Linked DNA regions of Drosophila melanogaster. The protein of the gene in region 1 interacts with the protein of each later gene in a pairwise test. Each region holds a gene or a part of one and is shown in the gene's direction. Other genes may lie near its edges.

Region 1 (7,489 bases):
GTTTATGTTTGGCATGCCCACCGTGCGTATACGTAATATTCTCTTTTATATAAATTTCTTAAGTTTTTATTATTTATTTTCAAAATTTTTTTCGGTGCTCTTTTGAAAAATAATTTCAAGGTACACAATTTTGCAATCAACCTTTCCGCCTTTTAAATTCAAATCAGTTGCTTGAACTTTTTGCCAACTATCAAACTGAAAGTCAATGTATATTATTATCTATGGGCCAACAGTCTTCCTATAAATGAACAGTTAAACTAAACCGGCTATCGATTTAAGTGTGCAAAGCACGATTATTGCCTAGCCACCTTGGCTGCGAAGTTGATAGGCAAAGTTTTATTGGCCAATAGTGGCCATTAATGAGTTTGTTGGAGCACACATTAATAGACTTTTATGTACATCTAATTGCCAGCGTTAATTGATGGGAATCGGGAGCAAAAGTCGATTTCGAAAAGCACACACAAGTGGTGAGTAACTAACTTCATTTTTTCGACTAACAGATACCCGGCAATCAGCATGAGTGTAAAATGTAAGATGAATTTAATGAGTTTAATTAAAATAATATTTTTATATTATATTTTATATTATATTTTCCCATCTGTAATAATTATTTTTAAAATGCACTGCTTTCGCCGGCGGAAGTGCTTAATTTTCCACGAATGCTATGCAACCTTATATTATTAGATTACCGCCGATGGGTATCTATTTTTATGTGTGTTTATGCCATAATCTCACTTTCGCACATGGCGCGATTTTCCTATCAATGGCCATAAATCAATGACGGATGTATGGCCTACCAGCCTACTGTCTAAATGCACTTCGACTCGTTTTTGTGTAATCTCAACGTCATAGATACTGTGCTCTGCGCTGCTAAGTATGCAACAGGTTTCGTACGAGTCGGGCTAATCAGCAACAGGTGCCGTTACTCGCTGCTACTCACCACGCCAAGCGAATGGAATGGTAGGCGGTGCCTGTGGGTGGTCCACGTATTCTACCCACAGTGTCCATGTCCGTGTGGTGAATTAATAAGTCGCACATTGTTCATACGCCCCATTGTACGGGCAGAAAGCACTTGGATGTTGGCATTTTTGAAGGGAGTATGCGACGGGAAGATGCCCTATGCCATTGAGTTTTTGTCCTTTTAAGCTTTCAATTTAAGGAAATACCGGAAATTAAAATTAAAATGGTACATACGAATATTATTTCTTGCCAGCAAACTTTCAAAACCGTATTATTATATTTTAATTGGTTATTAAAATGGTTTATTTGAAGGCATTTTAAAAGTTTCCTGTGCTGCTTTATTTAATTTATTTAACTTAACGTTTAATTTTGATCGGTGATATTTCTACATCATTACGATTCATGCAAATAAAATGACCCTAGATCTTAAAAAATGTCTTATTCGCCTATCTTGTTTTTAGTTGCGTCCATATAGCGCTAATCTACTCAAGGATCTGTGCACCTCATCAACCCTCCTCGCCTGCCAGGTAGTATAAACAAGTGTTATTCCTGCTGACTGCAGTGCCGCTTGACATGAGGCATAAAGCTTTGCCTAAGCAGACTCCCCCTAACGAATTACCCCCACCCGGTGGGCCGCCCCCTCAGCCCCCTCAGCCTCCTGGCCGTTCCGCCAGCTCGTGCTTCCTGCTGCTGGTTCTGCTGCTGCTGCTTCTGTCGCTGCCGGCGTCGCTGCCCTGGGTGCTGTTTGCTATTTTGTATATAAAGCCCAGTGGCAGGCATCGCCAACATCGAGTTACCAATTTCCCTTCTTGGCGTTCACATCGATAGAGCGACAACAGCAACTAGTTAACGCGACCAAAGGATCAGATCCAAACTTCCCACCAAACGAAACTCCACATCAAGGCCGAAAAACTAACACAAATAATTCGCAAATTACCGATTGACGAATTTCCCGGCGCCAGATTTTTCTCATTTACCGACGCCAATTTCATTGCCGGCGATTCCCAATCTCATCCAGACGAAAAGTATCGGTAAGTATTATACTATTTACCTGCGCCAATTGGAATTCGGCGATTAATTGAATTGGGCAGTTATGTGTCTGCCACAATTAATTTGTGGGCGCGGAAATTGTGCCACAGGTGAAATATCGCAGGGCACAAGAATTATAGCCGCTGATATCATATCGTACAAGTTACACTCTTTGCGTTAAATCGAAACAGTTAATATCAACGAAATAGAAATCTTCATGTTAGATGTTTTTAAAATAATATAGCACAAATATATTTTACGCATTACGGTCAAAAACGTTTAAAAAATATGCAGAATTTTCGAATTATGTTTCTAACTAGTTGGTTAATAGTTAAATATTAGAAATATGAACAATATTCAGAATTTTCTTTTTGAACTAGTGAACAAAAACTAAAATAAATAAAGTATCTAAATAATTTCAAAGTGCATCTCAGTTTCTGAAATATCCTTTAAAAAAATGTCTTCAATGAATGGTTAAAGACAATTTGCTTGTTTCTCGTTTAAATTGAGTCAAAGGTGCTCTTCCTAAATTGAGTTCATAAAAGTTGCTGAAAATTGATAGGCCTTTACACCATTGAAGGTAAAGTAAGGTTACTTTTTTGCCCATGAAAAACTCCCACATTTTGACGTACATATATGTATGTGCAATTCATAGGCCATATATTACCACCCTGTTGGCTTTTCTTTTTGTTTTGAATATGCCAGAGCATCAATTTCCTCAGGGACTTTCCCAGAGCCACCTAATGACAGACGAAATCAGGAGGAACTGCTTCCGCTGCTCATTGAAAATTATGTGAATTATTTATGAAGCGTAGAAAAATCAGGTGAACGCACAAAACATTCACCTCATTTGATTTGGACTTCAATCTCGATTCGAGTTGCTGATAATAAATAACTTCAGTTGACTTGCTCTGATTTGGTTTGTTGTAGCTTCGGTCGATTCCCGCCGAAACCGCAATCAAATTGCATTTAATATTTATTAGAATACGCCTACGGTTTTCTTCGCAATTTTCCTGCGGGTTAAGGGCATCAATGAGGCAGATAATTTTCCGCTGAAATGTAAGGGGGAAAATCTGGCGGAGAAGGGCAAGCTTGTTGTTTGCTTAAGACGCTTCGTGCTGTGATAATCAGGTTAAATAAACAAAATAGACATCTTTTTATTAATATTTAAGTAGCTCAAACAAAAAGTACTAGAAAATTCAACCAAAGACCTGCGGCAATTGATATATTCTAAATTTATCCCTAACCGCAATGTAGAATGAAAAAAAAACCACAAATTCTTTAGGACATATTTTCGAAAATCCTTCACTTCAAAAGAATGCGCAGCTTTTTAACTTGAAATCTAATTGGGTAAATAACTCTTCCACATCGAACCGCATTTTCCGCAAATCGGAACGTAACCACAAAAAACAAAACAGATCCCCCAAAGAAACTCGATACAACTTCAAGTGCTCCACACCCGTGGAAGGCAAAAGGAAGCATTTCAAATATCTTGATACGTATTTGAAGATGTCTGAAGTTTCCAGTTTTTGGTGACTGACTGACGTAATTTTAATTTGCCGCCTCGAAAATATCATATGACCAGATAAATCACTTGGCCAAGGACACGGCCATCGTCCTGCCGGCTCCTGTCAGACGCACACATTAATGAAGCCCACGCCAGGTCCTTCGGCCAAATATTTGCCCAACGACATTTGGTCTTGGCTAATTTTAAAGTTCCCATTGCCACAGGCTCAAAATGTGACAAAAAAAAAGTGAACGGAACTTGAAATTAAACCGGAATTAAGCGACCGTGTTTGCCAGGATAATAACTTAAAGTCTAAAGTGCCACGTGAAATTGCACTTTTCTTTTCCGTTTTTTTTTTCTCTCAACGCTTTGTGTTTTAGTACTTGCAACTCTTTGGCTGCCACGGCGGCGAGATTAAATTTCCAATTAACATTCGAGCATTATTTATCGGTGGCAATAAATGTGTCCTGATTATGTTTGGCTTTGGGTTGGTCTTCAGGGCCCCGTTCGCTTTTGGCCTTTTATTATTCCATTTGATCCAGCTAAAGCCACTGCGTTGGGTGGGCAAAAGTTGGCCACCTCGTCATTAGTTTTTATTTATCACCCGCTAGCTGCTTAATCTAACAAATATTTTATGAGCTCAAAGTTTAGTTGGCCGCTTTGTGGGCATTGTAATTATCTCTGCGTAAGTTCACTTGTTTTAAGTGTTTTAAGCGATTCGCATGCACTTTTGCCAATTTATACACGAAAATGTTCGCATATGAGCCAATATTTATCAATGTTTCAGTGGCAGAAAAATATAGTGCTACTACCAATACAAATCTCAGCAGGTAATATAGTTCCAAACAAATGCCATAGTTTAGGAAATATGGCCATTTACAAATCGCTTGCCATTTTCCAGTCAATGTGAATGTGTTTGATCATTTCTGCGAAACAAAGAGCTAATTTGCAATTTAGATTTTTGGAACCATAACAAACTCCGTCGCAAAATGCATTCACATAACCAGCTGCTTGAAATTTAAGGACCATCTAGGAGCAGCAACATTTTATGAGCTGCAGCAAGCAAATGAGACAAGTCGTTAACGTTTACGGGCCACAACGTTGAGGTCCTCGATGGGCCATGTCTATATGGCTTTTTATGCCCACGCCGTTGGTTTGGCTTTCTCGCTTACCTGTTGCATGCAGATGATTATGATGATTATGATGATGATACTGAAAGTCATTTAATGACCTCATTTTCCACGTCCCAACGGGGATTTATGTTCAAACAGGGGCACTTTATGTATTCATGTCCTGCGGGAGAGGTTTTCCTTTTGATTTCACACCCACTTAAATTACCATGATGCCATAATTTATGTAATTCAAGTAATTAGTTGCTGATTGCAGTTTTAGTGGACGTGTCGTTCATATTAGTAATTACTTTTGATCTAGCTGCACTTAATATGAATAATTCATAAGGCGGAAGGAGGTAATGTAATATAATCCAAATTGTATACTAATTAGTATTATCGTATTAGTCTTATTAGTATGCACATAAAGTAACCACAAAAAAATACATCATAAATCTGATTCCTTCACTCCGTTTGATTTTTGCAATGGATACTTTATTATATGTTGTGTTGCATACCTTCTGAAAAGTGTATCAGTGACCTTTCACCTTTATAGCTTTGAAGATTTGATTGAATAACCCGTTGTTTGATCAATCACTTTTACCAAGTTGACAACACGTTACGAAACAGGCCATGAAAGTTCTTTAATACGTACTCGCATACATCGCATATATGAAGGGAACCCCAGCACGTCTTTTGTCAGCTTCTGATAAAATCAATTAAAGTTTGGCCAACAAGGCCATGCACCCTGGCCATTGTGTGGCTGCCACACGTTGCACTATCGACCATTGTATTACGGATGCAACGCATAAGTGGATGACCGTATGGGTCCGGTTGTTGCATCGTTTAAGCTGCAGCTCCATATCCGCTTTTAATTGCGGAAATGCACTTAAGCCGGGCTAAGGTGAAAAACCGTACTCAGGACAGCAATCTGCGTCAGCAAGGCAGAAATGCAGGTCACGTTTGTGGCAGCAAGTGTTTTGAGTAACTGCCATTTGCTTTGTTGGACGGCCATTCAGGTTGAACGGTGTCTGAAGTGTTACAAAATAATAAATATGCGTATAAAGGCAATTCCACTGAATCCCGGGACCTTTAATTAAAAAATGTGGCTAGCTGAACTTCATGGCGAAGTTTTTTGCGTGAACTCGCCTCTTGACAACCTTTGTGCATCGGGATTAGCGGGGCACAAAGTCCTGGAGGTTTTTCTTTGAAGTTTTGCAAGCATTTGCATTAATTGGAATGCTACAACAGTTCATAACTATTGACTATTAAACAAGGCTGTTTTTTTTTAATACTTTCAGTGCAGAAGCGTTTAAAAATGATGAAATTCGTGCAGATATTATTGTGCTACGGCCTACTCCTCACCCTGTTCTTTGCCCTCAGCGAGGCCCGACCTTCGGGTGCCGAAACAGGACCGGTGAGTAATATCCTTGGAGAACGTGATACAAATGTAGCTTATTCGTTCGATTTAAGGACTCCGATGGACTTGATGGCCAGGACGCGGAGGACGTGCGAGGCGCCTATGGAGGTGGCTACGATATGCCAGCCCAGGCAATCTATCCCAATATTCCAATGGATCGGCTGCAGATGCTCTTTGCCCAATACAGACCCACGTAAGGCGAAAGCACTATTGAAACCATTGTGGATAATGACAAATTGTGATTAACTTTAATAGCAGTTACAGCGCCTATTTGAGGAGTCCCACCTACGGCAATGTGAATGAACTTTATCGGCTGCCCGAGAGCAAACGTCAAGTTAGATACCGGCAGTGCTACTTTAATCCCATCTCCTGCTTTAGGAAGTAAGTTCCCGGACAGTGGGAAGAATATCCGGAACCCAGAGCTCTTGGTTAAACTAACAATTCAAGCATTTCAACAAACCAAAACCAAAAAAATAAGCCACAACACAAAGATTAGCATAATGGATAAACGCAAATGTTTAGAGCAATTAAACTAAAGCTAAGACTCAACTATATCCATATACATATATATACAACTTATCCTTTGAATGTCTACGAAACGTATGAAAAAATGTTCGTTCCATTGTAGTTGCCAAAAAAAAAAAATAAATTATGTACCTATTTATTTGAATATTAGCACAAAAGTTTGAAATTTAAATATTTCGTTTCTTGATTTACGCTTTGCATATGGTGTGGTAAAATAAAATACAATGCTTCAATAAGCTATTTATATATTAAAACTGCATTCCTCAATGTGTGTGCTTTTGTAAATTTAAGTGTCCCAGCTAATGTATAATACAAGTAATTAGAACAACAAACAGGAATGCAAACTTGGTGTCATCTAATACCTCCTACACAAAACTATACATGTAAAATATCTTTCTAAATAAAAGTTATAAATATTTACGAATAAACTAAATGCGACCAAATGTTGAAAAAACTGACTTATAATTGAAATAATTGGGTAAAAACATTTACTGGATAAAAGTATTACTTTTATTGCTGAAAGTCAATAAAAACACTCAGTTTTGTTACTGAAACATTTTATTTTTATTAAAAATTAATTTGAATTATTATTTAAAATTATTGGAGCTTATAATATAAATATATATATATTTGCCAATCACTAGTTTAAAATTTGTCATAGTTAAATTTTTAAAAAACACTCATTGTGCCTCTTTTTAAGTTTTTGTTTAATTTTGCTTAGCAGGTGATCTCAGTAAACTCAAATTATATTTTTAAATTTCACTTGACTGAATTTGATACATTGGTAAATTGCCTCTGAGGCTTTAATTTTCCATCACTGATTTTCGGCTTTAGGATCCTTTATTCGATATCTTAAACTTTTAGACGCCTCCTTTCTAGGAACTTGGTTGGACACTTTCCGCCGCGTCGTTCCATTTTGATGACCAATCGATCCGGAGT
Region 2 (7,997 bases), on another chromosome or scaffold:
TCCATTTGGACAAACAATTAACAAGTTGGCCATAATCAACATAGGCTATGTTGTAATAGTGCGGCCCAAGAAATGTGCAAAATGTTGGAGCGCACCATAAATAGATATGAGTATATACCAAATCCGAAATGCAGATCCAATAACAAGCCCCTGAACCTGTAACCCCATCGGATTACAAACTGTCCACCTGGCATTAGTTGTCTCCGGCGAGGTCCAAGTTCAAGTTCAGTTCATCACTCACTGGGATTTACCAATAGCCAAGTTTCAGCTAACTACCAAAATTATTTTTATCAGGAAAATCATTGTAGATAGCAATTAGCCGCATTCGTAGATACACTGTAATAGATGAGATTAAATTAAAACTTATAAAAACGTATAAAATCAACACATTATTTATATTGTTCTGCAAATATCAGGTTGTTTGAATGTTATCTAAATATTTATATTTAAATAAGATATGAAGCTTTTAAGACCTAATGAGTTATTAATCATGTATGCTAGTTTTCAGACCAGAGTATAACAAACGAAAATAGATGTATTAGTTACTGAAACGTACATTTAAATAAGTTTGATATTTACATTCGGAAAACCCTTTATAGATATTATATTAACAATGTATTAAAATCGATTTCCATCTTATTGATGTACCCCCAAAAAAAGGTAAGCCAAACGGAATTAAAAACGATGCAAAATAAGGTTCGTCGCACCTCCTTCGAAAAGCCCAAAGTGCTCGATAGTATGAGTCATAAAAAACCCGATGGTCAAAAACTACGCCACACGCTACGCTGATTGATAAAAACTTCGTGAATTAATCGCGAGCAAATAGCCAAAAGGTGTTTGGCAAACAGCCCAGAGTGGCGACAATAACAACTCCCGAGAAAAATCAATGTGATTAGCATAATTTTCGAAGCTCTGTTGGTCATTATCAACTTTCTTGGAATGCTTAACATAAAACGCCACTTAGGTGGGGGCTAGATGAACGACTGCAGCACATCGAACCAAGGTCAGTAACACAAGTGGAAGCCACTGGAGCCACTGAATCACAATGAGACTCACTCCGGCCGGGCAGCACTGACCATACACAACACAAACGCAAACCTGATAATGATTGGGATTTAAGGTAGTGGCACGCGAACGTGATCATCGTGAATAAGTTTGGGGGGAATGTCTCTAATTTTTATGAACTTCGGGTAATTCCGCCAAGCGCTTTTTACTCACAGTGAGCTAGGTTAAATAAAAAAAACGTTAAAATAAACGAAAATGAAACGAGTGACCGAGCGATGACGTTTGCATTGACCATGGGTTAAAAACCAGGCGATTTGAACTGAACTGCAACCAAAAAGAGAGGCAGATGTATGAAGTAAAAAAAAAATGGGGAAAGATGAATGTATGCCAAAAGATCCGGTTTGAGGCAATGCCCAATTTTACCCTTTTTCACGATGTTTTTATTATTCAGCGGTTGCTACTCTCTGACCCAATTCATAATTGCAGAATTGCATAATCCCGGTTTCTCAAGCAACGCCTTTCCGGGAAGCTAAATTTGGTTATTTAAAATTTGGTAAAATCATAAAAAAAAAAACAAAGCCCCATTTGGATGTTTAAGACAGTCAGTTATGTTTAAGAGATGTGTTGAATGTGATGATAGTTTCTGGGTTTCTTACTGATAATGAAGCTATCATAGTGATATTTCCGCCTATTTCCGCCTCGTTTACTGACCTCCAGTAGTTGGGCAGAATTGGGGATTTGAGGAAAAAACCCAGACGAAAAATCAACACTAACAGCGAAAAAGAGGGGTTGCCAAACATTGTCGCCGTCGCCGCTTTTGTATCTTTTGTTTTGGGCTACCGATTCGCAAACTAAGGCGGTATGAAAGCTAGAAGAAGACGGAATCAATGCAGACAGAGACAGCGAAACGTTGGAGCTTGACGTCGACGGCGCGCATGCACAGCTTTTGTATAAAATGTGCGCGGCCAACGAAAGCGAAATCAGTGAACGATCTGCAGAGCATCGAAGAGCACAATCGGTGCAGAAAGTGAATGAAGTGAAAGGATAAGAGACTCAGTAAATTGCATAAGGATTATCCGGACAACAGTGATAACTAACCAATTGGATTAATAAACTTGACACAAAAAAGGTGAGTGAAGTGAGCGAAATTAGCAAAGTGAACTCAAGTGAACCGAAAGCGAACTAATTTAAATGAATGGCTATTAGATGTGAATTATGAGTCTGCAGCACATGAAATTATGGTTGTTGCAAATATGCCTACATACATACACTTAATAAAAACTCTTGGCCAAGAGCCTCCGCGTCATTAAGCCAATCGAACAAGCGAAACTTTCACTGCGAACACAAAGGAAAAACCTAAAAAAATTTCCCAAACCCAACCAAACGGCAGTTAGCATCGCTTACGAGCACTTCTCGCCAAAGAAAATCCAAGCGAAAAAGTTGCCGGCAATTTGCAATGCAACGCTGCGCACAACTTCCGGCCGAAAAAGCAGGCCTAAAGAAATCCAAAGATACATTTACATAACTGGAAAATATATACTTGAAAAAAATCATAAAAAATAAAATATAACTCGAAATTGTAGTGTGTAATGCCGCTCTAGATGAATCAGATCTGTTTACATAATCATTTAAAATATAAATATATCTTCTTACTTAAGCATATAATTCCGAGTGGCAAAATTATAATTCTGGCTATCCTATTAGTTACTCCTTAAACCAATATTACATTCATAATTGATTTTTTTGTTAAGTGTAGCCGATCTTTTACAAAATCCGCCCTCGCTGTGAGCCGGTGACATAACTGCAATGCAAACGACCATAAAAATAAAGGCTGAAAAGAAAAGTGAATTTTACCAAATAAAAGAGACACGAAGCGGAAAGCGGCTGTCAGGGCGAGAGATCAAGTTGAGCGATGGTCTTCGGTGGGATTGCAGTCGTAGGCTTGCTAAATCTGTAGGAAAATTACCTCATAAATTACGGGGACCTGAAGCCAGCGATCCCCTCGCCATCCCGACTCGCATTTCGAGCAAAAGTAACGTACAAAATCAGGCAATTAAGTGCTACGGTCTGCGACCTCCAATGAAAGTAAAAGTCTTATACGAGAGTCTGAGTCACGGTGAAGATTTCGTGATGCTAACCGGTTTGGGCTTCGGATTCGGTTTTGTTACGGATTGGTTAAGCCAAAGATGGTATGAGGGATCGGTGGCTAGGTGGAGAAATGTAAACTGGCACAATGACTTGGGGTAATGGTGTCAAGCTCGCCACTTATGTCATAACCAATCATGACTAAACCTCTTAATTTATTTTCCACTCAAAAGAAAAGGCGACAAAGATGGTCAATCAATCACTTGATTAATATATCCGTAGATATTAGAGAATTGGTATCCTAAAGTTTTTCTATCTAATCATTTCACAGGCTTCACAATGAGAATAAGAACTAGCCTTTTGGCAGTTGTACTGCTGGCCACCGCCTCCTTGGCCGAGGAATCCAACTGGGGAAATGAGTGGGCGCCCATGGAGGATGCCATGCCCAGTCGCCGATCTGTCGATACCAAGCCCGCCGAACAAGCTGACATTCAGGGACGTTACCTCGTCCACGAGTCCATCCAGAGCAACAGCACCACCCAGATTGACGAGGTCATCGAGCAGCTGATCAACTCCCGCCGTGAGGGTCGTAATCTGGGGGAATACGATGCCGTCTATGCTGATGGCAATATCGATCAGGCTCTGCAGCAGGGAAACGATATGCAGGCCCGCAATCTTATCCGGGATAAGCTGTGTGGATTGGGACTGATGAGCTGCGATGTGGAGGAGAAGCGTCCCTTCTACTCGACCATCTATGCCCAGGGTCCCCCACCACCATCTGGTTTCAGCGGTGGTCCCTATGGTCCGGCTAAGCCCATGCCCCCACCAAGCTACTTCAGTGGTCGTCCACCAATGGGTGGACCTCCTGGATCTTACGGACCTCCGCCAAGCTCCCTGAACTCCTTTGGACCTCCGCCCAGCTCCGTGAACTCCTTTGGACCGCCAAGGAAGGTGGGATACGAGGGACCATACAAGCCAATGTCTGGACCTTACAGGCCATCTGGACCCGGTGGCTACCTGGAGCATCCTCCACCATCCGCCATTGACGGTTCATCCGACGGTATCACCTACACGAAGCCACCACCCGGAGCCCTGATCTATGACAGCAAGCCACCAGGACCCATCTACACCGGAGGTCCTTCTCTGGGAGCTGGACCCGTTTTTACTGGTGCTTCGAATGGAGTTCCTCCATACAACTACGAGAACCCCGAGGGTGGCATCCAGGGTGCAAGCTCTGCTCCCAATGGTTTCTACTCGCAGCAGTCTTCAGCTTCTTCCGCCTCGGCCACATCCTCCAGCACCAAAGTGGTGGTTGGAGCACCGCTCGATGGTCTGCAGCAACATGTGCATCATCATTATCACCATGTTGAAGGTGGCGAGGGAGCAAAGGTTCCCAGTGTGCCAATTCCCATCGGAGCTGGCCAGACCATTAACACCGACTTCAGTGCCCTGGCCCAATCATCTGCCACATACACTCCCTCCATTCAGACTTCTTCCGGATCCAGTTACTCCCAGTCCAATGCCTTCAATGCTGGCTTTAATGGTGCTTCTCAGGGTGGACTTCTTTCGCAGAACGGTTTTGGAATCTCCCAGAAACCCACTGGAGATCTGTACAAACCAAACTCTGGAGATCTCTACAAGCCCAACTCAGGACTAGGAAACTTTGGCAGCAGTTCCTCTGGAGGATTCAGTGGATCGCCCAGCTCCAGTTATCACAGCCAGAATCCCGACTACTACAAGAAGGAGCTGCAAGGTGGAGCATCCAATCAGTACAATGGCATCTCTGGTGGTTACCAGGGTCAGGGTCAGTACCAGAGTGGATATGACACCTCGCGCCAGCAGATCGTCGACTGCCAGTGTGTGCCCATCTCCCAGTGTCCCGCTGCCGATCGCATTGGACGCAAGGAGGATCTCATTCTGCCTATTGATCCCCGCAACCTGGGCAAGGACATTGAGGCTCTGAGTGACGATGCTCTATCCAGCAATGCTACCACTACTGCTGAGGCTAAGAAGGACGAGGAGAAGGCGGACAAGGATGACAAGAAGCGCACCCGCCGCCAGGCTGATCAAAAGGATGACGAAGCAAGCGATCTCTCACTCGATGCTCAAGGGGTAAGTCCATAGAAGTCTATTAGTTTAAGTAGTGCCCAACTAATGCCAAATCACACATGGTTCACATGGACCACTAATCGAGTTTTAGCCAAGCTCCTCCCTCCCACACACACACACATTCAAATCAAACAACAAATCAATCAGTCAATCAACAAATCAAACCAATCTGACAACTGCACCCATCGTTCAACGCTCCAAGCTCAACTAAAATACCAGAGTGCAAATCGGTTCCGATTAGACCAGTCACTAATCCCAGAACTAAACCAGCTAACCAAGCACGACCTTTGTGATCGCACGCCTGCAACCCGAAACATGCAACCTGCAACCGGCAATCAGAAATGGAACTCCACCTCTAGCGTTCTTATGTTTTCCCCTTACCAACAAATAGAGACAGTCCCCGCTCGGAGGATCTCCATTGGCATTGCCCGCTCTCCAGGCCATCGAGCTGATCCAACGCAAAGTGCTGCCCACCTACGGTGTCAGCTTTGGTTTGCCCTATCCCACTGGCGGGTATGGAGGTTATCCCTCGAATATTCTGGGTGATCATGTGCCCGCTCAAAACCCGTACTTCGGTTCGGTGGGTCCAAATGGTCTGAATCTGGGTCTGGTGAATGTGAATCCTCTGGTATCGGTGCAGGTGGCCAAAACAGAATATGGCGAGAAGGTGGTGAAGCCACTGGTCAATCTGCATGTCACTCCCAATGCGAATCTCATTCAGAAAGTGGGAGACTTCTTTAAGCGGAAGCCCACCGAAGCGTATAGTACACATTACCACCATCACGATCATTATAGTGGCTATGAGCACCACGATTACGATCACCATGACCACCACGATCACCATGACCACCACTCGTATCCGCATTTCTATGGAGGAACTGGACCGGGTCTCCATTTCAGTGTGGAAATGGTCCCAAGTACTCCCATATTTGAGTATCACAGTGGGCCTTCTGTTCAGTATCATCACCACCACGAATCGTCTCCCTACGAGAGCTCCTTCAACTCTATATATCCCGGATCCAGTCCCGATTTCGGGGGCTATGGCGAGTACTCACAGCATGTGGAGCGAAGTGCCAATGTGAGCGGTGGTGATACAGACAGGCCATCGAATTCCGGTCGTCGTGGCAAACAGTTGAACCTGGGACCCCTCTACAACATTCCCACTCCGGCTCCTGGTGAGGCAGCTGGCAGTGATCGGATCACTTTCCCACGGGATCGCAGGCGCAGGAGCGTTGAGGATGGTGTGTGGGCGGGAGCAGCTCCTAAGGAGCAGGTAACCATGTGTGGCTAAAGCATTAAAGTTCATTCGAAAGCGTCAATAGAGTACTAAAGTCCATAACTACAAAATTGAAAAATTTCATGAGAAGTTCAGTCCCAAATTATGTAACTATTTTGTAAAACTTTTTAAGAGTCAAAGAACCCCACATTTTATAAATATTCTTAATTGTTTATTGATTAAATCATTGATGGTAATTAGGAAAAGTTATATGGCATTCAAAGTACATTTCAAATCCAGATAAGATTGTACCCATTCCTCCAACATTTATCTAATTGCGATTGCCTTCCTTGATATTTTCCAGCGTGCCTATTATGGAAACCGACCCGTGGAAAAGACCTGCCGCATCAACGAAGTCTGCTGCCGTCGTCCACTGCGTCCCCAGGCTCCTCCCCAGCAATTTGGTCGTTGTGGAGTGAGGAACGCCGCTGGAATCACCGGTCGCATCAAGAATCCCGTCTACGTTGATGGAGACAGTGAGTTCGGCGAGTATCCCTGGCATGTGGCCATTCTGAAGAAGGATCCCAAGGAGTCGATCTACGCCTGCGGTGGCACGCTCATCGATGCCCAGCACATCATTTCCGCTGCCCATTGCATTAAATCGTAAGTTCTAGAGTCATAAAAGTATATTTCACCAGAGCATTAACCAATTGCTTCTTTCTATCCAGTCAAAATGGCTTCGATCTTCGTGTGCGTCTGGGCGAATGGGATGTCAACCACGATGTGGAGTTCTTCCCCTACATTGAACGCGATGTGGTTTCCGTGCACATCCATCCCGAGTACTATGCCGGCACTCTGGACAATGATCTGGCCGTTCTGAAACTGGATCAACCCGTTGACTTCACCAAGAATCCGCACATTAGTCCCGCCTGTCTGCCCGACAAGTATTCCGATTTCACTGGAGCTCGTTGCTGGACAACTGGATGGGGCAAGGATGCCTTCGGCGAGCACGGAAAGTACCAGAACATTCTGAAGGAGGTGGATGTGCCAATCCTATCGCACCAACAGTGCGAGTCCCAGCTGAGGAACACGCGTCTGGGCTATAGCTACAAACTGAATCCCGGATTTGTGTGCGCCGGCGGAGAGGAGGGCAAGGATGCCTGCAAGGGTGATGGCGGTGGCCCATTGGTGTGCGACCGGAATGGAGCCATGCACGTGGTCGGAGTGGTGTCCTGGGGCATTGGATGTGGTCAGGTGAACGTTCCCGGCGTCTACGTTAAGGTCTCCGCCTACCTGCCCTGGATCCAACAGATCACCCAGAGCTATCAATGATTAACGGATCAGCAGACTGACAAGGAGGAGGTGACTGGCTACCATGCGAATATCACCGGATCCGTTCCGGTTGACACCTCCTCCGATGAGTTCGTTTTCCACTTCTGACCGAAGCCATCTTTCAACACTCTCGCATTCCAACTACCGACCGAATCGTTTCGATAGTGGCATTCGTCATCGTATTTATCACTCTTAGTTATTACGGATGTCTCCTTGAATACCTGTTATATTTTGTTATATATATGATTCA

What was found.
Region 2: the proteins of AstC (region 1) and CG4998 interact in a two-hybrid assay, tested with the Drosophila melanogaster proteins (one large-scale study listed by BioGRID).

The regions. Positions count from the first base shown.
Region 1 is NT_033779.5:11,075,656-11,083,144, reverse strand, and holds AstC (allatostatin C), read left to right. Parts: upstream 1-1,745; 5' UTR 1,746-1,991; intron 1,992-5,906; 5' UTR 5,907-5,923; coding exon 5,924-6,022; intron 6,023-6,078; coding exon 6,079-6,218; intron 6,219-6,280; coding exon 6,281-6,410; 3' UTR 6,411-6,980; downstream 6,981-7,489. Other genes in the region: CG43725 (uncharacterized protein), read right to left, coding at 7,403-7,489.
Region 2 is NT_037436.4:16,337,015-16,345,011, forward strand, and holds the start of CG4998 (uncharacterized protein), read left to right. Parts: upstream 1-1,988; 5' UTR 1,989-2,134; intron 2,135-3,421; 5' UTR 3,422-3,429; coding exon 3,430-5,202; intron 5,203-5,590; coding exon 5,591-6,472; intron 6,473-6,779; coding exon 6,780-7,078; intron 7,079-7,143; coding exon 7,144-7,747; 3' UTR 7,748-7,997.